Macaca mulatta: one gene and its partner. Each later gene encodes a partner of the first gene's protein in a complex. Links are inferred from orthologs where the notes say so. Each region holds a gene or a part of one and is shown on either strand. Other genes may lie near its edges.

Region 1 (12,287 bases):
CTATATTCTGTGGATTAAATGTGGGTAAAAAAGCGGAGTTGATTTTTAACTATTAGTTCCTTGCTCATCTCTGTTTGGTTTAGGTGCCTGTAGGTGATCAACCTAAGGATATTGAGCTTCAAATCAGAGAGCTCATTCTTCGGTTCATCAGTAACCCAAATTCCATTATCCTCGCTGTCACTGCTGCTAATACAGATATGGCAACATCAGAGGCACTTAAAATTTCAAGAGAGGTAGATCCAGATGGTAAGGACAGATGTTAATATTTAATGAGATGCTTATTTTACAATGGTAAATCTACCCTTGAGAAAGGAATTTTTCTCTTTAAAAACAGTATCTCTAGTTGTTAATACAAATTTAAAAGATAATGCTTTCCTATTTTTGTTTATAAAAATAGAAATTCTGATGGAAAATAAGATTTTAAATTGCTATACAGACTAGGCAAAAATATTTCACATCTTTATTTGTAATGGTTACCTAATAATTTTAAAATAATACAGTGGCTTTGCAAAAAGGATTTCTTGTTTTGCAACTTGGGTATTTGAATGGCTGGCTTTTAAGAGTAAATAACATAGCCAGGTGTGGTCACATGTGCCTGTGGTCCCAGCTACTCAGAAGGCTGAGATGGGAGCATTGTTTGAGGTCAGGAGTTCAAAGTCAGCCTGGGCAACATAGACTCTTTAAAAAAAATAACACAGTAGATAATCATTGTAGATTATTATGGTACAGTAGAGAATTATGGTATCTACATTCTGCAGAGGTAGAGAACATTTAGACATGCTCAAGGCAAAGGGGATTTTTAGAAATGAAGGTAAAATCCTTTCATGAAGCATTTTAACCCCAAGGATTAGTTCACACTGTGGGTCACTGATGCTTGACTAATGATGTAGTGCACATCTCGTAGCATGTATAAAATGCTGGCTTGTAAGAGAGTGGTTACTATTGTTGCTAACAAATGTGTGCATGGCCTCATATAGAAACCATTTTTTTCACCTTACTATTTAGAGGGTCTGAAGGTTGTGTCGTGTTTTTCTTACCCTGCTTTGAAGAATAATTTCAAATAAAAATTTGATATGAAATAGTGCTAAGACTGCCAATAAAAAATCCCATAAGCAGGGTCACTTTAACACTTTTTTTTTTTTTTTGATACAGAGTCTTGCTCTATCACCCAGGCTGGAGTGCAGTGGCGTGATCTTGGCTCTCTGCAAGCTCTGCCTCCCGGGTTCACGCCATTCTCCTACCTCAGCCTCCCGAGTAGCTGGGACTACAGGTGCCTGCCACCACGCCCGGCTAATTTTTTGTATTTTTAGTAGAGACAGGGTTTCACCATGTTAGCCAGGATGGTCTCGATCTCCTGACCTTGTGATCTGCCCGCCTCGTTCTCCCAAAGTGCTGGGATTACAGGTGTGAGCCACTGCGCCTGGCCCCAAAATTTTATATTTCAAGTGTTTAAGAAAATTTTTTTTACCATTTGAGTAAATAATGTTCACTTCAGTTAAAGTAAAAGATAAACTTTATCAAAGAGTTTATTTACATTTATTTTTATTATTTAAAGTAGGCTGGGCTCAGTGGCTCATGCCCGTAATACCAGCACTTTGGGAGGCAAGGCTGGTGGATCACTTGAGCTCAGGAGTTTGACACCAGCTTGGGCAGCAAAATGAGACCCCATCTCTATAAAAAATACAAAAAAAAATTTAGCTGGGTATGGTGGCACTGGCCTGTGGTCCTAGCTACTTGGGATGCTGAGGTGGGAGGATGGCTTGAGCCTGGAAGGCAGACGTTGCACTGAGCCAAGATCATGCCATTGCACTCTTGCCTGGGCTCAGAGCCAGACCTTCGTAAAAAAACAAACAAAAAAAACCTGTTAAGCATTTTATATGTATTAACTCTATTTTAAACTGACCCTCGAGCCATAAATATTGTAATATTTTTAATCTAATCTTTTTTTTGTATTGGATGTAAGGTCTTACTCTGTTGCCCAGGTCTGGAGTGCAGTGGCACAATCATGCCTCACTGCAGCCTCGCACTCCTGGGCTCAAGCGATCTGCCCGCCTCAGTCTCCCAAAGTGTTAGGATTACAGGAGTGAGCCACTGCACCTGGCTTGATTACTAATCTTAATCTAGTAATACATCATAAGGAAATAATTGGCCTAGTATTATTTATAGTATTAAAATTTTGAAACAACTTAATACGACCAACAGTTGGAAGGATTAAGTAAATTTTAACAGTAAAATATGAAATAATTAAAAAGGATGATTTTGTTGATTTGGAACAATACAGAAAAATGCCTGGTGTGGTGGCTTACACTTGTAATTCCAGCACTTTGGGAGGCTGAGGTGAGCGGATCGCTTGAGGCCAGAATTTCCAGAGCAACCTGGCCAAGATGGTGAAAACCCATCTCTATTAAAAATACAAAAATTAGCCGGGCATGGTGGTGCATGCCTGTAATCCCAGCTACTGGGGAGGCTGAGACATGAGAATCATTTGAACTCAGGAGGCGAAGGTTACAGTGAGCCGAGATTGTACCACTGCACAAAAAAAAAAAAAAAAAGAAAAATGCTTATGACTAAAAATTGTACACTATGCAGAGCAATTGAACTCATACATTGCTGGTGGGAGTGGTATAGTCATTTTGGGAAACAAGTCTGGCAGTTTCTTGTAAAGTTAAATTAGCAGTCCCATTCCTAGGTGTTTAACCATGTTAAATGAGAACCAGTGTTCATATAAAAACTATATACAAATGTCTACAGCATCTTTATTCATAATTTCCAAAAACTGGAAACATCTCACATATTTCTCAGATGAGGAGTGAAACTAAAGTATAGTACATTCCATACAATGGGACGCTACTCCGCAATAAAAAAGAACGGACTATTAATATACAAGAACATGGATGAATCTCAACTGCATTATGCTAAATGAAAGAAGCCAGACTCAAAAGGTTATGTACTATCTGATTTCGTTTATATAACATTCTAGAAAAGGCAAAACTAGGGATGGAAAATTGGTTTGATTGGTTAGCATAAGAAAATTTGGTGGGGGGCGGCAGTGTCTTGAGTTGGTTGTGAAATATCTCTTGGCATTTGTCAAAACTCTTAGAACTGTACACCAAAAAGGAGTCAATATTTTTATTTTAATTTTTGTTTTTTGAGACAAGGTCTTATTCCATTGCCCAGGCTGGAGTGCAGTGGTGCAATCACGGCTCACTGCAGCCTTGACTTCTTGGGCTCAGGTAGTTCTCCCACCTCAGCCTCACCTGTAGCTAGGACTACCATACCCTGCTAAGTTTTCTATTTGTTGTAGAGACAGAGTTTCACCACTTTGCCCAGGCTGGTCTTGAACTCCTGGGCTCAAGCAATCTGTCTGCCTTGGCCTTCCAAAGTGTTGGGATTATAGGCATGGGCCATATCACCTGGATGTAAATTTTATATAGATTTTTTAAATGCTTACAAAATAGCCCTAAGAGTCAACAAAAAATTGCATGTGAAAAAACTATTTTTTTATATATACTATCTATATCTATATATCTATATATCTATATCCATATCTATATCTATATCTATATTTTTGTGAGACGGAGTCTTGCTCTATCATCCAGGCTGGAGTGCAATGGCATGCTCTCAGCTCACTGCAACCTTCGCCTCCCAGGTTTAAGCAATTCTCCTGCCTCAGCCTCCCGAGCAGCTGGGATTATAGGCGTCTACCACTACGCCTGGCTAATTTTTGTATTTTTAGTAGAGATGGGGTTTTACCATGTTAGTCAGGCTGGTCTCGAACTCCTGACCTCAGGTGATCCGCCCGCTTTGGCCTCCCAAACTGCTGGAATTACAGGCATGAGCCACCACACCTGGCAAAAATGTTTTTAAAAATTGTACACAATGTTTAAAATTATTTTTTAAAAAGTACTGGTAAGAAAGGCATTACCAAAATGATGACAGAGGTAATACTAAGTGCGATTATAGATGAGGGTTTTCCTTTATTAATGCTTAATAGTTTTATTTAATGGATCATTTTCTTTCTTTCTTTCTTTTCTTTGCCCTTTTCTCTTTTTGCATTTACCAGGTCGCAGAACCCTAGCTGTAATCACTAAACTTGATCTCATGGATGCGGGTACCGATGCCATGGATGTATTGATGGGAAGGGTTATTCCAGTCAAACTTGGAATAATTGGAGTAGTTAACAGGTTAGCAGTTAGAATGGGATAAGAATTGGTAGAGCAATCACTTCAGAGCAAGTCTGAATTTCTAAAATCTGTTTGAAATGTGATACTGTCCTGTATTTTTTCTCCCTTTTACTATGATCTTGGTATTGCTAAAGAATCAATTGCCCTAAAGGGAGAAAAGAGATAGAAATTTTTTTTTTTTTTTGGGAAACAGGGCGTCTCTGTTGCCTAGGCTGGAATGCAGTGGCGTGATTGTGGCTTATTGTAGCCTCGACCTCTGGGCTCAAGTGATCCTTCCACTTCAGCCTTTCAAGTAGCTGAGACTACAGGTGTGTACCACCACACCTGGCTAATTTTTAATTTTTTTTGTAGTGACAAGGTCTTGCCATGTTGCCCAGGCTTGTCTCGACTTCTTGGGCTCAAGCAGTCCTCCAACCTTGGTTTCCCAGGTGCTAGGATTACAGGCATGAGCCACTATGCCTGCCCCCGTAGAAATTTTTAATGGAAAATGTTTCTAAAGTAAGCAATACCACAAAATGGAAGAAATGTTGTAATAGCCAGGCTTTAAGAATTCTTGCCTATCATGTTAAGCAATGTATGAGGAGGTGCTGGGTAAGGGAAAAATTACCTAATGTATACACAGTCGAGAAAGAGTTTAAGGTGGCAGGATTTTAATAGATTGGTTTAATCCCTAGCATTAGTGATTTTGTGTAATTGCCAGGATGTGACTTGGAGAAATTTTATTAAAGGTATCCTAATTATAAATAGTTGGTATTAAAAATTGGAAAAAGGAAACTATTATTGAGTGTCTAATTATGTTTTAGACACTCTACTCTGAGCAATTTGCAAATGGTATCTCTTGGAATCCTCACAGCATCCCCTGAGGTAGGTGTTGATGTCTATTTTATAATCAGAAACCTCAGGTTATACATTTAACCAAAAGTCACATGGGTAGTGAAAGAGCTGGACTCGGATGAATCTCTCTTTTAGTCCAAAGCCTTCATATGCTAGGAAACCCTGAAATTATCATGAAATCTGAGTTCTAGTCCCAGTTCTTCCATAAACTAGATACAATGTAGGTTTAAATGACACCTAATGTCTTTGGGTCTCAAGCCTTTAGAAAATGAAAATGTTTTTACTACCTGATATATAAGATCCATTCCAGTTGTCTGCTTCTATTTTAATGTCCTTCCATCCCATCCCTCCTGTCATTCTCCCATCCCCACTCTCAATTCCAACTGTCTCTTTTTTCAGGCAAGGAGGTGGCGCAAGCAACACTGTTCATTATTTGTAGATGATTGTTCTTCAAATTAACTTAATTATTTTTGGGCGAAATTAGTTCCCTGGCATGGATAAAATATACAATTGACTAAGATACTCTTATATTTTTATACCTGTTTATACCTGTTACTTATTGTTTTTGTCTATAGTTAATGGTAATAATGAGGCCTACTCTATTTAGGCACTAGTTACTTATAATTCACTTAGTTCAAGTCTTGGCTATGCCAGTTAGTGTGTGACCTTGGGTAAGTTAGTCTCTGTGAGCCTCAGTTCCTTGCTATACAATGGGGTAGTAATACCTGTCACATAAAATTATTGTGAGAATTAAATAAAACAGTCCCTGTCAGGTATTAGAGAATAATGGCTGGTGCTGTCATCATCTGAGGTAGGAAGAGGACAACCATTAAGCTGAATAGTTTTGTAATTTTTTCAACCTCAGGAGCCAGCTAGATATTAACAACAAGAAGAGTGTAACTGATTCAATCCGTGATGAGTATGCTTTTCTTCAAAAGAAATATCCATCTCTGGCCAATAGAAATGGAACAAAGTATCTTGCTAGGACTCTAAACAGGTAATTTTTTTACCTTTTGGAAATGAGATGTGTTTGTTTTTACCAATAGGTGTCTGAGAGGGTTCATTTTCAGTTCCTTACATTTTCATACTGTTCCTAACAGCTTCACTTATGGTTTCTTATATAGTAGGTTCCTGAAGAGTAGATGTCTCTATTTTTATTGGGGTGGTTGACATTACATCATCATGTAGTCTAGAATGAATGTTCAAGTGATTTTAAGATGTTTTAATTATGAAAATTTTGACAGTTAATTTAGTTTTGTGGATACAACTAGAGATGACTTCATTTGCACTTTGCATTTCAGCAACTGCATTAAAATTTGTAATTTTCACATTATCTATTCTTAACTTAGAATGTCTTTTATTTACCAGGGAAGGGAGATGGAAAAACAAAGAAATAGAATGTCTTTTATTCCTATTCACTGTAGAAATAACTTAAGTTGTATACGTTGGATTCTGAATACTCATTGATGGTGGGGGACTAGAAGATGTTTCTAGATTATTTATAAATGACTGAAGTGGAAGCCATTTTCTCTTACTTTTATTCCTTAAAGACTGATAGATTTGGATCTTAATAAGGTTGATTTTTACTTTGCTGGTTACTAATTGTAAATGACAAGTCAATGAAACCAAAATTATATAGGAAGAATTGATTGAGTGGCTTGCTTTCTCTGTGGTAACTGCAGTAATATGAAAATAATTTGCATTTTTTTTCCTTTTATGATTTAGGAAAAACGAATACAAATTGTTTTTTTCCTATTTACACACAGTTAATCAGTATGGCACATAATGCTTCTGAGAGCAGATACATGGGGAGTTTTCCCCATACATCAAGCAAGGAATTCTCCAGGGGATTGTAGCTGAATGTCCTTTAATTCAATGCTAACACTATTTACCTGGCGATAGCGTCAGCTCCCACAGTTTGAGGGTTCAGTCCCACAAGACTGCCCCCAAGTCAGATGCTAGTTGTAAGCACACATTGTAGCCTGTGTTTCTGACTGATGGACTATAAGTCAGGGTACCCATGACTCCCGTTTCATGTTTGATTAATTTGTTAGAGTGGCTCACAGAGGTCAGGGAAACACTACTTAACATATACCCATTTACTATAAAGCATATTAGAAAGGATATAGGTAAATAGCCAGATGAAGAGATGCACAGGGCTGGGCATGTGGGAAGGAATGTGGAGCTTCCGTGCCCTCTCTGGGCACACCACACTCTGGGAACCTTCATGTGTTCTACTCTCTGAAGACTCCGTGAACTGCGTCCTTTTGAGTTTTTATGGAAACTCCATTGGCCACTGGTGATCAGCTCAACCTTTGGCCTCTCTCCCTTCTTCTGAGGCTGTTCTGGTGACCAGCTCCCATCCTGAAGCTATCTAGCCACCAGTCATCTCATTAACATGCAAAGACACTCTAAACACTCTTATGCTTTTGGAGAGTCCAAGGATTTTAGGAGCTGACTGCCAGGAAATGAAGACAAAGACCAAATATATATTTCACAGTATCACATTTGCCAGGACAAATTATTTGATAGGTTTTCCCCATTTTAAAAATTTGACTTATTTTACTTTTAAATCCTTCCTTTCTAAAAACCTTTTTTAGGTTACTGATGCATCACATCAGAGATTGCTTACCAGAGTTGAAAACAAGAATAAATGTTCTAGCTGCTCAGTATCAGTCTCTTCTAAATAGCTACGGTGAACCCGTGGATGATAAAAGTGCTACTTTACTCCAGCTTATTACCAAATTTGCCACAGAATATTGTAACACGATTGAAGGAACTGCAAAATATATTGAAACTTCAGAGCTGTAAGTAAGAAATGTTTCTGTAGATTTGGTTACCTAGAGTGCTAGGTCACTTTTCCTTTTGTGAAGATGACTTCAGCTCAGATTATCTGAGATTTGTTATCTATAAAACAAAAATATAATTTTGTAGAGATAATAGGATGATGTCTGGTTGTGTGAAAATATGTTTTGTAAATGATGTAAAGCAAAGTAAAATTTTCATGTATTTGTAAAACTATTTTAATAAGAAAAAATATTTCTTAATTTAGCTTTTAAAGTGTTTGTTTCTTTAGTACACACATTATAATTGCTCATAAAAAATTAGAAAATGCAGATAAGTAAAAATAAAACATAAAAACAAAATTACATGGTGGTGTGCACCCGCAGCCCCAGTTGCTCAGGAGGCTGAGGTAGGAGAATCCCTTGAGTTCAGGAGTTCAAGGCCAGCCTGGGCGACATATTGAGACTCCCTTTCTCTCTCTCTCTTTTTTTAAAATTAAATCCAAATTTTATTAAGGATTTCAAGTTACATACTTCAGATTTCTAGAATGGAATGGAATAATTTTGGAACTGGAAAAATGGCATAAACACTGACATCCCTTGAAACTTCAATTTTATAAAGAAAATTCTTCGGCAAACCACATCCCCATTATGTAACAAGACTAGGTATTATCTACACCTTCACTTTGGCAACAGCTATTTCCTAAAAGAATGAAAAAGATGATTTTGCTATCTCAGTTAGTTAAAAATGGGATTCTGGCCAGGCACAGTGGCTCATGCCTGTAATCCCAGCACTTTGGGAGGCTAAGGCGGGCGAATCACCTGACGTCAGGAGTTCGAAACCAGCGTGGCTAACATGATGAAACCCCATCTCTACTAAAAATACAAAAACTAGCCGGGCGTGGTCGCAGGCAGCTGTAATCCCAGCTACTTGGGAGATTGAGGCAGGAGAATCTCTTGAACCTGTGAGGTGGAGGTTGCAGTGATCCGAGATGGTGCCACTGCACTCTGGCCTGGGCAACAAAGCAAGACTCTGTCTCAGAAAAAAAAAAGTGATTCTGTCTTTAAAGTTCAGAAAAAGCTGCATTTAGATGAACTACGGTTACCAAAAACAAACAAACAAACAAAAAAAACCAGTGTCTAATCAAAGCAAAGGAAATCATTTTGAAAATAAAGAGAACAAAGCTGTTATAATTGGTTAAGGATTTCCAGTAGTAAGTTAAAATCTCAGGAGAGGAATGGATAGCACTACAAACAATGTGTTCACTTCCAAGACCTTAACACTAACTTCTCAAAAAGGAAGTTTTCATCACCTCTAAAAATGAATTCAATGTAATTTTGTTAAAAGCAGGAAATCTAGACCTTCCTGTAATGACAATCCAATAGTCCACCCTCACCATCGTCAAAAGAAAGTTGCCTCAAAATCAACAGTAATTAGCCTGAGGTATTGTAAATGTGGCTCTACAGTCTGAAATTTAATGGCATCTTTTGTCAAAAATAGTCTTATTTCCACTTTACTCTCATGACTACAATACTATAGTGCTCTCCCTGTAGTACTACAACGCAGTCATACAGAAAAAAATTCTTTCACCTTGTGAAATAGTGCATCCATCCACTTCTATAAAAATAGGAGCCACACTGGCCGGGCGCGGTGGCTGTAATCCCAGCACTTTGGGAGGCTGAGGCAGGTGGATTAAGAGGTTGAGAGATCGAGACCATCCTGGCCAACATGATGAAACCCCGTCTCTACTAAAAATACAAAAATTAGCCGGGTGTGGTGGTGCATACCTGTAATCCAAGCTACTCAGTAGTCTGAGGCAGGAGAATTGCTTGAACCTGGGAGTTGGAGGTTGCAGTGAGCTGAGATCGCACCACTGCACTCCAGCCTGGTCAACAGAGAGACACACTGTCTCCAAAAAAAAAAATTTTATATATATATATATATATATATATATATATATTTATATATATATATATATTTATATATATATGTATATATTTATATATATATTTGTATATATTTATATATATATTTGTATATATTTATATATATTTATATGCCACACAAAGATCACTAACTGATAATTTAATTGATAACTGAACTGTTTTCTAGTTTAGTTATCAAAGTGTGGTGTGAACAACATGCTGAGTGTCACACTGGCATTACAAATAGGCCCAAAATTTTGAGCTTTTAACGAGATCAAGAAACATTTTATGAGATTTAACTCAATATGCCTTAACACATCCATAAGGTAGTTAAATAAACAGTACTACACATTTTAATACATAGCAAACAGAAGCATGGGTAATTGACATACTCATACTTTAAGCAATAAGAATTAGAAGAAACCACAGAAGCTTGGGGCCTTCTCTCTAGCTCTACCCCAAAGAAAATGAACTTTAACTTTTTTTTTTTTTTTAAGCATCATATCACTTAAAATTTTCTTCTTCTTCTTCTTTTTTTTACACTTGCTTATTAGTATAGTATCTCTTTCCAAAGCTGGTACCCTTTTCACTAATGTGGTAAAAACTGAGTATAACCCTTAATTCAAGCTAGGCCTCTGCTTCTACCTGAATTGGTACAAAATTAAGACATTATCTTGTAAGAACTAAAATTGTATTTGAAATTTTTATTTTAGGCTACAAAAACAAGCAAATAAACAACAAATAACTTGAAAATAGGTCTTGTCAAATGATGTAAATTCATCCTTTCCAGGGAAGCAGAAGGTAGATCCTACTACAAAGAAAAGATGCTTAGTTAATGGAGGTTAAATTTAAAAGTATAGTGAAATTCAGGCTAACTTCTGAAAATCCTGTCTTATTCATCTCACTGTTGTACCAGTAACTATACTGAGTCAGGTTACTTTACAGTTAACTATTTCACCTATAACACAATAATCCATTAACAATCTAATACAGTTATTGGGTGTGGTCATACTGGAAATTCTTAAATTCTTAACCATATAGTTGTCTTGCCCATTTTTTTTTTCTTTCAGACCGAGTCTTGCTCAGCCACCTAGGCTGGAGTGCAGTGGCATGATCTCAGCTCACTGCAACCACCATCTCCTGGGTTCAAGCGATTCTCCCGTCTCAGCCTCCTGAGTAGCTGGGATTACAGGCACCTGCCATCATGCCCAGCTAATTTTTGTATTTTAGTAGAGATGGGGTTTCACCGTGTTAGACTGGTCTTGAACTCCTGACCTCAGGTGATCTGCCTGCCTCAGCCTCTCAAAGTGCTAGGAATATAGGCGTGAGCCACTGCACATGCCAATTTTTTTTTTAAACGAATTGTCTTAGTATAAGTCCCTGCATTTCTGTAACAAAGTAATGAAAGGCATAGCTAATCCAAGCAGACTTAACCCTATTCAACAGACAGCTGAAAATATACTTTGGTTCTTCAAGGAAAAAATTCCGGGAAAAAAAAAAAAGTGTTTCCTTTAACAGTTGTTAATTTTCATAGCTGTACTCCAAGAGCTACATAAAAAGATTCCAGAAGAACCAAATTATTAGCAATGAATGAACATGTGTGACAGAATTTGTGCATTCAACATATCTGGCAGAAAAACTAGTGAAAATGCTAGCTAGAACAAATTGGTCTTTAAAATATCAGTTTCCTGTCCTTTAAAACAAAAATTACGTAGTCTACCAAGAAAATACAAAAACATAAGGCAGTAAGTAAGAGTTGTGTTTAGGCTATTACAGTGCAGGTTATCCTCAAGGCCACATATATCCTGCTTCACTGCTGCTTGCATTCTGCTGGGTTTTGATCCTTCTTCAGGTCATAGTCTGGATCATTTCCCTCATCTCCTTCATCTTCCCCTTCCTCATCTGCTTCTTCACCTTCTTCACCATACTCATCATCATCATCTTCCGTAACTCCTCCAGTAAACTGTAACACTGATCTTGGGATTACATGCTCACATAAAAAGCGACCAATGTTGAAGTCTGCAGCGAGGACAGCTTCAGCAGCATCATCCAGATCTCCACTCTCAGGAACTTCAGGAGGGGCAAGAAAATTAAAGAGTCATTGGAAACTGTTTTGGTCACAGTACGAATTGTCCCATGTACCTTGTGTTTCTGCTTCTTAATGGTTTTCAAAGTGACATTCTTTCCTTTTTTCCAATCTATCTGGCCCCCTGTACAACCCATAATTTCTGGTCCATCAAAAGAAAAGGGATCAGAATCATCTGGTTCTGGTTCTAACATTATCCTACATGTCTTTGTCAGCACTTCATTTGTAAAATATTCACTGGGTTCAAAGTGAAATTCTAAGACAAAACTCTTCGGCTAGCCAGCATCTGAGAACTTCACTTTAGTATCATCGAAATGCTTCAGAATAGGTTCATCATGTTCCTGAAGCATATCACTGAGTAAGTCAACATTCTTAAAAACAGGTAACCAAAATTCAGGAATTCCTTTGGGGTCTTCTTTTTCTTCATCCTTTTTCTCATCTTCAGTCTTGGCCTTTTCTTTCAACTCCTCTGAA
Region 2 (12,929 bases), on another chromosome or scaffold:
CCTCCCACCCCCCTACCGAGGGGATCAGACGCACGGGCAGTGAGGTGAGCTGATTTCGGGACAGGTTCAGAGTTTCCACGTGCACCCACTGGTCTATGCACAGGGACAGCTCTGTGATCTGGTTGCTGCTGAGGTTGAGGCGGCGCAGGCTGGGGAGGGTGTACAGGCACTCAGGCACCCGCGTCAGGTCGTTGCAGGACAGGTCCACATCTGGGGTGCAGGGTGGGGTGCATCAGCTGGGGCCCATGCAGCAGGTGCCAGGGCAGCCAGCCCCAGTGTGAACCCCAACTCTGCCACCTCTGAGCTGCGTGGCCTTAGGCAAATGACGACTGCCGTGCGCCCAAGTTTCTCCATTTGGACAAAGTCCCTCACACGGGGCTTTGGGAGGGGTGTCTGGGCATAAAGTCAGTGTTAAGACATCATCATCATCATCGCAGAAGTCACTGTAACATAACTGTAGCTTTTTCCCTCTGGGCACTGGTCTGAGGAGCAGGGTTCAACCCCCTTCACCCATAAGGAAGCAAGAGGGCCCAAAGCGGGCCACAGCTCAGAGGGGCTCCTGGGGCTGCCTGACCTGCGAGGTTGCTCAGACCCTCGAGGCTGGTGGGGAGGTTACTCTGGGTGCGCTGGGTGCTCCGCAGGTGCAGGGTCTGCAGGGCGGTCATCGCTGGGAGCTGCCTGCCAGGGTGATGTGAGTGGTCAGGGCCAGGGCCCACCTAGGGGGTGTCAAGGGTGGGGCCTGGCAGGGCAGGACCAAGAGCACAGGGCCCTGAGGGTAGGTGTGAAGTCTCATCTGGCCGAAGGGACAAGCCCAAGGGTGGTGCAGGGCGTGTAAGCGGGAAGACAGGACTGAGAGGTGGACATGATACTTAGGAGGTTGGAGACTGAGGGGTGCTGCCTGCATGGAGGGATGGCTGGGCCCAGTGGAGAAGGGCTGGGGCTCTGGGAAGTTAAGGGGCCAGGCCAGACTCCTCAGGGTGGCTTCTGCAGGAGTGCGGCCCGAGGGGGCGCCCACCGGAGCTGTGCATGCAGCAGAGGGTTCCCATTGAGCACCAGCGTCTGCAGGTGCACCAGGCGGCGCATCTGCGGGGGCAGGCTCTCCAGGCGGTTCTCGCTGAGGTCCAGGTACAGCAGGTCGGTGAGGTTGATGAAGAGCTGGTTGGGGATGGTGTCAATACTACGGGTGGGGAGCAGGAGCCACCTGAGTCAGCACCGGCCACCCCCCCAAGGCCCACCTGCCCCCTGCCCCTGGCTGGCCTGGCACCTGTTGTGGCTGAGGTTCAGCACCAGCATGTTCTTGGCGTTCTCCAGCTCCCGCGGGCACTCCGTCAGCTGGTTGTGGCTCAAGTCCTGGGTAGAAGGGGCAAGACCCAGGTCAGGGGAGTCTCCACCCTGCCAGGCTTCTGCCAAGCTTGGGGATCAGGCCAGGGCACTGAGTTGGGTGTGGGGGTAGATGAGGGGGTTTCAGGGCCAAAGAGAAACAGTCAGGGACTTGGGAGGAAGAGTGCCTGGGTTAGGGATCTGACTCCAAAAGTGACCTCAGGCAAGGTACTATCCACTCCAAGACTCAGTTTTCCCATCTGCAAAATGGGATGACAATGGCCCCAGGGACTTTTATAGTGAGTGGGGATTGAATGGTCCGGCTAGCATAGGGGCCAGATGAGTCGGTAGCCACTGACCAGGACTGAGAGGTCATCTAGCTTGAAGATGTCATCGGGGACTCCAGAATTCTTCAGACAGTTGGCTCGGGCCACGATGGCCTGGGAATAAACCATAAGAGTCTATGATTCTTGGCTTCTACTCCCAGAAAGGAACAGAGAGTCTAGAGAGGGACACCTCCTCAGGAGGCTCACCAGAGGCCAGGCCTGAGGACTCTCTTACCTCTGGCCTTTGATCAAATAGCCTCCTCTCTTGGAGGGCTCTTACTAGCCTCCCAGTGAACTCCTAGTCACACCTCAAAGCCCAGCCCAAATGTGCCCCGGAGCCCAGCACAGGGCCCTCAGGGAATCTTTTCTGTTCAAATAATTTCTCTTCTTCTTAATGCCAGAAGGTAAGATAGGGGTAAGGTCTGAGTCAGGGTTTTCAGAACAGAGGGAGAGAACTCGAAATCAGCATCTGGACTGAGAGGAAGTCTGCTTTCTCTCCCTAACTTAAGGCTGACACCTCCTTACACCTTACAGAGATGCAGAAAGCTTGAGCGTGAGAGGGAACAGGGCCAGAGAATGGTGCTGTGACTGCAAGTGACAACGGGAGTCACTGGAGCTGCCCCGCCACTTCTCCAGTCCGAATGCCTGTGTGGCACCCTGCTGCTGCTTCCTGAGGTCACTGCTGCCCCTCCCAACCACTGCACTTGCAGATGAGATGCAGAAAGCAGAAGGGATTTGCACAAGGTCACATCGCCAGGAAGTGGCAAAGCCCAGCTTTGAACTCAGAGAGTCCAAGTGAGAAGCTGTGCCCGAAACATCTCCAGGGCTCTGACTTCAGATGAGAATGGCCCTTGTTGAGGCCTACAGGGTCTGGCCAAGGGCCTGATGCCCTGGGACGTTCAAGTCTTGGGTAGAAGGTACACGGTGCTCCTGGCCAAACCCTACTCAACCCCAGCTCTACCACTGCCTGGCTCTGTGACCTGGGGCAAGTAATCTGCCTTGGTGGCCAAGTTTCTCTTCCGCAACATTAGTGGAGGGTTAGAGCATATGAAAAAATCCTAATAGAATAATGGGAACATGGCTCAGCCTGTATTGGTTATTATTACCGTAGTTACTGTCCATAATGGCTGGTAAGATTTTGGATTTATCTTTTTCCCAAGAGAATTCTCTGATCCACATGGGTTACTTTACGCAGGGCACTGCTGTAACCTCTAACAAGGGGGCCCCTCTTGTGACACCTGAACCTCTGAGCCTGACACGGAGGCGGGCAGAGATGCTGGCCCAGCCTGGCGTCTGGCCCAGGCTTCATGTCCCTGGCCAGACCCTGGTCCCAACCCCAAGCCTGGTGGCCTCCCGGCCAGCACTCACGCGCAGTGACGGCAGGCTGGACAGTTCCCCGTGAAGTGTGGTCAGGTTGTTGTGGCTCACAGACAAGTGTTCCTGGGCCGGAATGGGGAGCACAGGCTCAGTACGGTGGATGGGGTGTCCAGAGTCCCCGCCTGCCTCCACACCTCTGCACCATCCAGGAAGGCCTCAGCCACGCTGGCCCAATTCCCCCTGCAGCCTCCCTCCCTCACGGACCCAGCCTCTTCTTGCATACCTCCCTGGACAGGGTGCCCACTCCCTTTCTTCCAGCTGTGCTCATAGCTGTCAGTGTTCTTCCTCTCTCTGGAGAAGTTGTTTGCCTTCTCCACAGGCTCTGCCCATCTGGCTTATCCACAGGGACCCTCCCCTGCCTGCCCAAAGCCCCTTACCAGCTTCTGCAGGGCAGCCAGTTCCTCGGGCAGGTAGCAGAGGCCAGTGCGGTTCAGCTTCAGCCATCGCAGGCTGGTCATGGCCTTGACATTCTCAGGGAAGTAGCCGCCCTGGGGGAAGGATGTGAAGGTGAAGCACAGAGCCCCTGCTCACCACCTTCTATGGCTCCTCCAGCCCATGGGAGCCTTTGGGGAGCCACAGAACCAATTCTCACCAGCCGTGAGAACACAGACAAGTCATTTCATCATTGCACCTCAATTTCTTCACCCATAGAATGGGACTAATAAAAGCCCCCCTGTGACAAAAGTGTTGGCCTAAGATTTGTCTATCCTACTGGATTCTGGGCCCCAGGAGGGCCAGGACAAAACTGGCTTGTTTCAGGTGAGAGCCCAGCACCCGGCACTGTGGTTAGCTCTGCTCAAATTCCTTCACCCAGCATTCCACGCTCTGACTGGAGGCCTGGGGTGGGGGATTCCCCCCTCCAAGCCTTTGCAAAGGCCCCACCTGTACCCTCACCCTGCCATCAGCACACAGGCGATTCACACAGCCAGGGCCAAACTCTTGCTTGTGGAGACCGTGGCTCCCCACCCTGCAGGGCAGGGCCGTATCACTGCACTCCCCCAGTGTGTGAACGCCCACCTTGGCACCCAGCCCTTGTGGCACCAAGTCTGGGGCAGCACGTGCCTTCAGTGCCCGCGGCTGGTATTCCTCTCCCCCTGGGGCCACATTCCCAGCTGGTGACTCAGACTCTCCCAGTTCAGCAAAGAGGAACAGAGACCCCAGGTTAGGGTGGTGGGGATGGGGTCAGGGAAAAGTGGTGTGGACACTTGTACTTTGGGTCAAAGGTGTGTACACATGCAGGTAAACGCAGGAAAAACCTGCGTTTTCATTCTCGGCCCCAGACTGACAACCCAGGCAGACCCTGCCAGTCACCCACCCTGAAAGTGAGGCTGACCCTCCAGCCAGCTCTTCCCTCCTCTCTTTTTCTGCTTCCCCTATGGTACGGCGATGCCTGTCTCATTCCTGAGTCCTGGAACCACCTCCCGCCCCACCCACTGGCTACAGAGGGCTGGGCTCCGTCATTTTCTCTCTCAGTACAGCAGCTGCTCAGACCCAGCACCTGGCACACCCGCCTGACACACTCTCCACACCAACAAATCTCACTACACCCCTTGCATCCAAGGAGGCGACTTTTAAGCCCTTTCACCGGCTGAGAAAGCCCGGGCTCTGAGAGGGGAAGTGATCTGAGAGGCCCAGGATCACACAGGATGGCGGGTGGCGGTGGCGGGGAGAGGGCAGTGATGAGTCGGCTCCGCACCCGCCCCTGGGCGGCCAGGCCGCCATCCCTGAGTCAGGGCCTGGCTTGGGCGTGTGACCTCTCGGGGGCGGGGAGGCTCGCCCGACCCCCAGGCCACCATCCAGCCCAGACGGATAACACGGACACGGGGTGGGGGCTCCCGGCCGGGTCCCCGGCGGGACTCCGAGCCCAAGCGTCCGTCCTGGGCCTGCCCGGCCTCGGTCTCCCCGTACAGGCACCGGGCGGAGGCCTCGGAGGTCCATTCCTGGCCAGGGGAGAGCCCCACCCCCGCCCCGGCCGCAGTCCCGGGGACGCGCAGGGCCTGGAGCCGGGCGGGACAGGAAGCGGAGGCCAAGCGGGCCGGGCGGAAGAGAAGGCCTGCAGGGAGGCCCAGCACGCGCCCGGTCCAGCTCACCTTGAAGTCGTTGCCGCTGAGGTCCACGCCACGCACGAACGGCAGCACCCCGGTGGCCTCCATGGCGCCCCTCTCGCTGCCGGGCCGGGCAGGGCTAAGGAACGCCGGGGCGGGGGCGGTGCGGGGAGCCACGGGCTGGGCCAGCGCCGGCCCCGCCCCTTTAACCCGCCCGCGCCGGTCGCTTTCCGCCGGGAAGGGTAGGCTTTAGGCCTCTTAGGGCCTCAGTTTCCCCGTCTGTTCAAAGACTGCGGTGGCATCAAGGAGTGCTGGGCGTCTCCTGTGCAGGAGCTGGAGGCTTCCACCATCTCCAGGCTTAAGTCCCAGCGTCTCAGGGTAGGGGCCGTAACGGCCGCTGGGCCAGGCACCGTCCCCTGTACTGCTGCAGCACATGAAGCTGGCCCTGACCTCGGAGAGATTCTAAACCCAGGCCCCGGGTCGCAGGGGCCCAGGAAGTGCCTGTACTTGGCTGACCGGTGGTAGTGAGACACCTGGCTCCTCGGGTCCTAGCTCTCCAGCTTCTGGACTTCGTTTCCTCATGTGTTGTTTTTATTTTGTTGAGACAGGGTCTTCTTGCTCTGCCGCCCAGGCTGGAGTGCAGTGGTGTGATCATAGCTCACTGCAGCCTGGAACTCCTGGGCTCAGCCTCCCGATTAGCTGGGACTATAGGCGCAGACCACCACACCTGGCTAAATTTATTTTTGTTTTTTTGTAGACACGAAGGTCTTGCTATGTTGCCCAGGCTGGTCTTGATGTCCTGGCCTCAAGTGATCCTCCGGTCTCAGCTTCTCAGAGTGCTGGGATGACAGGCGTGAGCCACCGCGCCCTACCCAGTTTCCTCATTTGTAAAATGCTTCCTAAGATTGTCACCATAAGTAAATGAACAAAGAATGCACGTGTAGCCTGCAGCATACAGCAGGCGCTCAGTGAGTGGCAGGTTATTATTCCGTTTTGTTTTGTGTGCCAGGTTTATTATTCCCACTTAGTGTCAGCACCCCTGTGCTCGTGCCCCCCTACAAAGGGAGGGTCCAGAAGAGAAGCATCTGTCTTGGTCCCTGCTGTTCACAGGGGGCTCGCCCTGGCTGACACATAGCAGGACCCCGATAAATGAGCCACAGCTGTTATATGCCCAGCCATGCTTCGTAGGGGAGGAGGGGGTCTAGTGTCCCCATTTTACAGGAGAAAAACAGGCCCAGGTGGAGAATGGCCCACATAAGCTCGCACGGAGCAGGTGGCAGGGGTCGGCACTTTCGCCACACTGTGCCTCGCAGGCCCACAGTTAAGAACGAGGCCACCAAGACACTCTCTCGCAGAGGTGATCTAACAGGTTGGATGTGCCGGGCCTCTAGCCATGTGCAGCCTCTCTACCTGGCTCCTGGAAGGAACGGGGGCCCAGACAGCTTTTTCCACACCGGAGGCTCACATTACAACGCACAGACTTCCCGGAGGGCTGCCTGTCACATCACCTGGTCGCAGGCTCGGAATGCAGCCCTGCACCTTTAAATTCGGACTGCGTCAGGGAGTCCCGCCCCGAAGGGAGCGCGTCTGTCGGCTGGGGGGCGGGGCCTGCCCTTCATTGGCTGAACTGCGCAGTATTTTGGCACCTGTGCTCCGAACTCGAGCGCTCCGATTGGACTTAGGGCCTGCTTGTCTGCGTGCTGCGAAGTCCGCGGCCGCCCCCGGGGGCCCTCGACGTCGGGTTCCAGGGTCCTTCACGTTCCAGTCTCAGGCTGGTTCGAGCTCAGGGACCGTGGTCCCGCGGCCTCCTCCGGTTGTTGTGCGGAAGCTGCGACGCAGGTACAGCTGGAGCGCGGCGGGGCGGCCCCCAGGGTCGCCGGGCTCAGGGCTTGGCGCGCGACTGAACGCTGATCGGAGGCGTGGCCCGCGGTCACGGCTGGGGAAGGCGGGGAGGGGACCTTTGGGGGACCAAGGGCCGCGTTCGAATCCCAGCCCAGCCCCCTTCCCCTCTCGGTCTCTTAGTTTCCTTGCGAACGGGGCGTCACCCGCCCACCTAGGGCTGCTGCTGCGGGCTGCACCGCCCGGGCCCACGGCAGGCGCGTTTGGCAGAGGAGGGAAGGCCAGACGGCCTCCAGGGCCTCGTTGGGCAAACTCGGGTTATTTTCAGCTACCCGTGCCCTCTCCCGCTTCCCGGAGCTGGAAGGCTGTGGGCTGAGGCCTGAGCGACCCCGCCAGTGGTGGGGCTGAGTCCCAATTTAGACAGGTTGGGAGTATTTAAAGCGCTTTACAGTTTGCAAAGTAGATTCCTGGTCTCTCTGGGGGTGGGTGGCAGTATTGATTCCCGAGTCACGGATGAGGAGACTGAAACCGGCCTTGGGGCCGTGGCGGGTCACCCGGTTGGCCTGGGATCTCCCCACAGACCGTCTTATTTTTAGTCTGGGGCGAATAGGCGGGTGTACGGGGCTGAGTCACACAGCGCTTCGGGCTTTAGCTACTCCAGGCATCTGGTCACCTGGCAACTGGGCCCCTGGCACGACACTCTGGCAGGGCAGGTGGAAGTCCTTGGTGCCCGGGCAGGCTGTGATCTCATGGTCATCTGCTCAGGCCTCCCTGGGAGAGTTCTGCCTAGTGTCTAACTGATGTCCGAAGGTCACAGCCCAGCTCATCTCCCAGGGCCTGAGGGCAGTGTCACCCTCGCAGAACGTGAGGAATGTGGACTGGGTCCTAGATCTTTGCCTCCACTTCCCAAGTGCTGGGCCCCACCCAGTCACACACTTCAAGCCTGCCCACATCTGCCTCCCACTGCTGCGTATGCCATCTTACAGGTGAGCAAACGGGCTGGGCCCAGGCCCTCACCTTCCTTTCTCTGTTGCTTGGCCTCCCTGCAGCTGAGAAGCATCACCCACCACTACCTACACATTGTCCCAAGACTGAGAGGCCCAGAGAGCCCTCTGTACAGAGGCACTGGGCAGCCCTTTCTGCCCTGCCAAAGGGGCTTCAACCCTGAGAAGCACATCTGCATTGGCCTGCCCGGGCAGCTCGGGCCGTGTCACTCTGCCTGTGCTCTGACTCGGTAGCTCTGCCTCTTGGGGCTACCCTGTCAAGATTTGGAGGGTAACTGGTTCCAGTGGTCCCCCAGACTGGCTGGGGCCCCAAATTGTTCGTCTTCTCTGGACTTTGGGCTCTTCTGAAGAGGTTATCATAGAGGGCTGCCGTGCCCTCTGGTTAGGGACTTTCAGATAAGGCTGCTGCTGAGGACCTGGCCACCTGGCACAGGGAGAATCCGTCAGACTCTGTGAGTGATGAGAGTCTGGAGGCCTTGCAGTCGTGGGTTGGAGACCTCACCACTCACTTGTGAGCTGGCAGCCTGTGGCTCTGTAACATAGGGATGGAGATGATGACACCCTGGTGATGTCAGAGGTCCTGGAGGGTGGGCTCCAGGGAGAGCGGCCCCTTCCTCTACCTGCACAAGCCTCAGGGCCTTTGCGAGCTTCTTTCCAGGGAGTAGGTTGTTTGCAGCTTTGGGGGAAGGGGCTTGGCAGCTCCCTCATCTCCTCGTGAGAGATGGGGGATTGGGGCCCCAAAACCCAAGTTCATATCTCATCCCTGCCCTTTCTTAGGTACTTTACATGGTTTCCCAGGACCTTGGTGTCCTCCCCTGTGGATGGGTGGCCCCTTTCTCTTGAGAAATTCTCAGAAAACCCCCCTCATGGGCTGAGCTCTCTTACCCAGCATAAGGACAGCCAGAGCACCTGCCCACAGAGCCCCTCTCTCAGCCTGGCCACCTGCACCTGAGCTGCCCCTTCACCCCTGGCTCTCTTACAGGCAGACCATGGCAGAGTTCTCCCAGAAACGGGGGAAGCGGCGTGGCGACGAGGGGCTGGGCAGCATGGTGGACTTCCTCCTGGCCAATGCCCGCCTGGTGCTGGGCGTGGGCGGGGCTGCTGTGCTGGGCATTGCCACCCTGGCCGTGAAGCGGGTAAGGCCAGGTGGGTGGGTCATGCCTGAGGCTCCTGCAGGAGGACAACAGGGTTGGGCTTTTCAGAGGGGCCCTGGGGAGGGGTGGGGACTGCCCAAGGCCTTGCAAGACTGCACCTGCTTCTCCACCCTGCACCCTGGTCTCCTTTGCCCCTGGGCTTTGCTATGGCTGCCCAGACTTCATATACACTGATCTCTGTGACTCTGCCTGTAGTTCATTGACAGGGCCACTAGCCCACGGGACGAGGATGACACCAAGGGAGACAGCTGGAAGGAACTGAGCCTGCTCAAGGCCACACCACACCTGCAGCCCCGGCCTCCACCTGCTGCCCTCAGCCAGCCAGTGTTGCCCTTGGCCCCCTCACCCTCTGCCCCAGGTGAGTGGCACTCCTTCCCCTCTGTTGGTGTCACATTCGAGAGACGCAGCCCAGGCTTTGCCCTGACTGACTGTGCGGCCCTGTGCGAGTCCCTGCTTCTCTCTGGGTTGCGGGCTCCTCAGACATTTAATGGGGGTGGGGTTTCTTTGTCCTGCTCCTGGAGCAAAGTGGCAGCGTTGTGATAGTGGGGAGCTTTAGATGGGGAAACTGAGGCCCACAGGGGCGTGACTTACCTACCTACTCTGCATGAAGCTGTTTTAGCCATAGGGCCAGGGTGTTGGACTCTGGGACAATGAGAACTCGTCACCAAGCGCTCACTATATGTGAGGACCTGAACTGAGTGCCTTCTCAGGTGCTATTGCAGGTGAGGAAAGTGAGGCCCTGGGACGTCACACAGCTAGCTGTCGGTGGTGTTTTCTTAACTAATCACAGGCTGTTCCGACATGTTCCCCGCCCCTTCACTCTGCAGAGGGGCCTGCAGAAACTGGTCCTGAGGTGACACCACAGCTCAGCTCCCCAGCACCGCTGTGTCTGACACTGCAGGAGAGGCTGCTGGCCTTCGAGCGGGACCATGTGACCATCCCAGCAGCCCAGGTGGCTTTGGCCAAACAGCTGGCTGGCGACATTGCCCTGGAGCTGCAGGCCTACTTTCGGAGCAAGTTCCCGGAACTGCCCTTTGGGGCATTTGTGCCTGGGGGGCCACTGTATGATGGGCTGCAGGCAGGGGCCGCGGACCATGTGCGTCTCCTGGTGCCACTGGTGCTGGAGCCGGGCCTATGGAGCCTGGTGCCGGGCGTGGACACTGTGGCGAGGGACCCTCGCTGCTGGGCCGTGCGCAGGACTCAGCTTGAGTTCTGCCCCCGCGGGAGCAGCCCCTGGGACCGCTTCCTGGTCGGGGGCTACCTCTCTTCCCGCATCCTGCTGGAGCTACTCCGAAAGGCGCTGGCTGCCTCTGTCAACTGGCCGGCCATTGGCAGCCTTCTTGGGTGCCTGATCTGGCCCAGCATGGCCTCAGAGGAGCTGCTGCTCGAGGTGCAGCACGAGCGCCTGGAGCTCACCGTGGCTGTGCTTGTGGCAGTCCCTGGGGCCGATGCTGACGACCACCTCCTCTTGGCCTGGCCCCTGGAGGGGCTGGCGGGGAACCTCTGGCTGCAGGACCTATATCCAGTGGAGGCTGCAAGGCTGCGAGCCCTGGACGACCATGACGCTGGGACCCGCCGTCGGCTGCTGCTGCTGCTGTGTGCTGTCTGCCGTGGCTGCTCGGCCCTGGGGCAGCTGGGCCGGGGTCACCTGACCCAGGTGGTCCTACGTCTGGGGGAGGACAATGTGGACTGGACGGAGGAGGCCTTGGGTGAGCGCTTCCTGCAAGCCCTGGAACTGCTCATCGGCAGCCTGGAGCAGGCCAGCCTGCCCTGCCACTTCAACCCCAGCGTGAACCTCTTCAGCAGCTTGCGTGAGGAGGAGATTGACGACATTGGCTATGCGCTGTACAGTGGCCTACAGGAGCCTGAGGGGCTGCTGTAGGTGGGTGGGAACGGGTGGCTGGCGTGTTTTCTAATGCTGGGAAGCTGCGCCCACCTCCCTTCCGGGGATTTGAATAGTGGTTTTTCTCTAGCTTTTAGCCAGAACAAAAGAGGGTACATTACTTAAACCCAGGGCATCGGGATGTGCTTGGGCTATGGTGGCCGTAAACCCTGAGCCCAGAGAGCTTGGGTCACTGTCACCTGAGTACGGCTGGGCTGGCTCAGGCAGCTTGGAGTGCCAGCCATTTCTGCAAGCACCTTTTCAGCCCTTGGGGCCAACCCCAGGACCTTGGCTCTGTCCATCACCAGCAACCAATCCACCGACAGAATGTGGTTTCTGCCATCCTGGGCAGAAGCTAAAGGCCAACTTCACATTTCTGCTGAGAGAAGGCGACTTACCGCCTTCTCCGGCCCCAGCTCCAGGCGTTTTGAGGCCTCTGGTGCCTGGTGGTAGGTATGGTGTGTTTGTTCTGTCCCCCGGGCGCTGGAGTCACCTGGTGTCCCTGAATGACAGCTTTTTGGCTGTTAAAGGATGGCGTTTTCCTGCTGTCTTCTGTGCGTTTAGTTTTCTTGTTGTGTTCTCGAGCCCTGGAGCAGGAGCTCAGTGTGACTTGCTACCCACCTGATACCTCAGGGCAAGGCCCTTTTTCCCTCCAGCCAGGTGAGTGTTTTCTTCAAGCAGCTGAGGGCCCTGGGGGAGCTGAGGCTCTGTGCTGCGCCCCCAGCCCACAGCTGGGGCATATCACTGGAGCTCTTCCAGGCCCCACTGGAGAGCAGAGGGCCTGATCCCCCACCAGAGGGGTCCGGTGTGCAGAGCCGGCCTCCCAGTGTGCCAAAATGAACTGCTCTCAGCCGATGGCTGTATTCTGACTTTGAAGCCCGTTAGAGGTAGCAGGGGGGCTAGAGGAGGGAGATTCCACCTCCCTTCCCAAGTGATCCTCCTCCTGCCTCTGGTATCCTTCCTGCTGAAATGAAGCTCTGCTTCGAAGAGGTGAACAAGAATAAAAGAAAATTCTAACGTGTAACTCAGGCTGGATAAGGGGGTCTTGGCGCTTTCACACGTAGCTGTTGGGGGTTTTCTGTAAGTCCTGTGGCTTGTCCTGGCACTTAGGCAAGGGTGCTTGAGGTCAATTGGAGGTGGTAGAGTTTACTTTAAAAAGTAACATCTTGGCCGGGCGCGCTGGCTCAAACCCATAATCCCAGCACATTGGGAGGCCGAGGCGGGTGGATCCTGGGGTCAAGAGATCAAGACCATCCTGGCCAACATGGTGAAACCCCATCTCTACTAAAAAGATAAAAATTAGCTGGGTGTGGTGGTGGGTGCCTGTAGTCCCAGCTACTTGGGAGGCCAAGGCAGGAGAATCGCTTAAATCCGGGAGGTGGAGGTTGCAATGAGCCGAGATCACACCACTGCACTCCAGACTGGCGACAGAGCAAGACTCTGTCTCAATAAATAAATAAATTAATTAATTAATTAAAAAGCATTTTGGCCAGGTGCCGTGGCTCACGCCTGTAATCCCAGCACTTTCGGAGGCTGAGGTAAGTGGATCACCTGAGGTTGGGAATTCAAGACCAGCCTGACTAACGTGGAGAAACTCCGTTTCTACTAAAAATTCAAAAAATATTAGCTGGGCGTGGTGGTGCATGCATGTAATCCCAGCTACTTGGGAGGCTGAGGCAGAAGAATTGCTTGAACCCGGGAGGCAGAGGTTGTGGTGAGCTAAGATTGCGCCATTGCACTCCAGCCTAGGCAACAAGAATGAAACTCTGTCTCAAAAATAAAAAATAAAAAAAAATCATCTCAGTCTGTTTGGGCTGTGATAACAAAATGCCATAGACTAGGTGGCTTATAAACATCAGAAATTTATGTCTGACCATTTTGGAGGCTAGAAGTCCAAGAATGAGTCACAAACAGATCCCATGTTTGGTGAGGGCCCACATACTGGTTCATAGGTGTCCCCATCTAGCTGTCCTCGTGGAGGA

Evidence for each region.
Region 2: the proteins of DNM1L (region 1) and MIEF2 are in contact, whole or in part, in a cryo-EM structure (PDB 5WP9), measured with the Homo sapiens proteins. The link is inferred for Macaca mulatta from reciprocal best matches to the Homo sapiens genes DNM1L and MIEF2. Residues at the interface, in NP_036192.2 of Homo sapiens: Asp190, Met191, Ala192, Thr193, Ser194, Leu197, Lys198, Ile199, Arg201, Glu202, Gly223, Thr224, Asp225, Asp228, Arg233, Val234; in NP_631901.2 of Homo sapiens: Val213, Asp214, Thr215, Val216, Arg218, Arg226, Leu230, Arg235, Val245, Gly246, Tyr248.

The regions. Positions count from the first base shown.
Region 1 is NC_133416.1:34,913,445-34,925,731, forward strand, and holds part of DNM1L (dynamin-1-like protein), read left to right. Parts: intron 1-83; coding exon 84-246; intron 247-4,063; coding exon 4,064-4,184; intron 4,185-5,883; coding exon 5,884-6,015; intron 6,016-7,618; coding exon 7,619-7,825; intron 7,826-11,078; exon of another isoform or gene 11,079-11,537; coding exon of another isoform or gene 11,538-11,797; intron 11,798-12,287. Other genes in the region: nucleosome assembly protein 1-like 1, read right to left, coding at 11,538-11,797. UniProt on the Homo sapiens protein: Functions in mitochondrial and peroxisomal division.
Region 2 is NC_133421.1:19,838,857-19,851,785, forward strand, and holds MIEF2 (mitochondrial dynamics protein MID49), read left to right. Parts: upstream 1-6,778; 5' UTR 6,779-6,907; intron 6,908-7,672; 5' UTR 7,673-7,879; coding exon 7,880-7,893; intron 7,894-8,893; coding exon 8,894-9,047; intron 9,048-9,260; coding exon 9,261-9,423; intron 9,424-9,892; coding exon 9,893-10,947; 3' UTR 10,948-11,971; downstream 11,972-12,929. Other genes in the region: FLII (protein flightless-1 homolog), read right to left, coding at 35-210, 575-678, 1,016-1,177, 1,265-1,350, 1,680-1,760, 3,015-3,086, 3,401-3,511, 5,114-5,176. UniProt on the Homo sapiens protein: Mitochondrial outer membrane protein involved in the regulation of mitochondrial organization.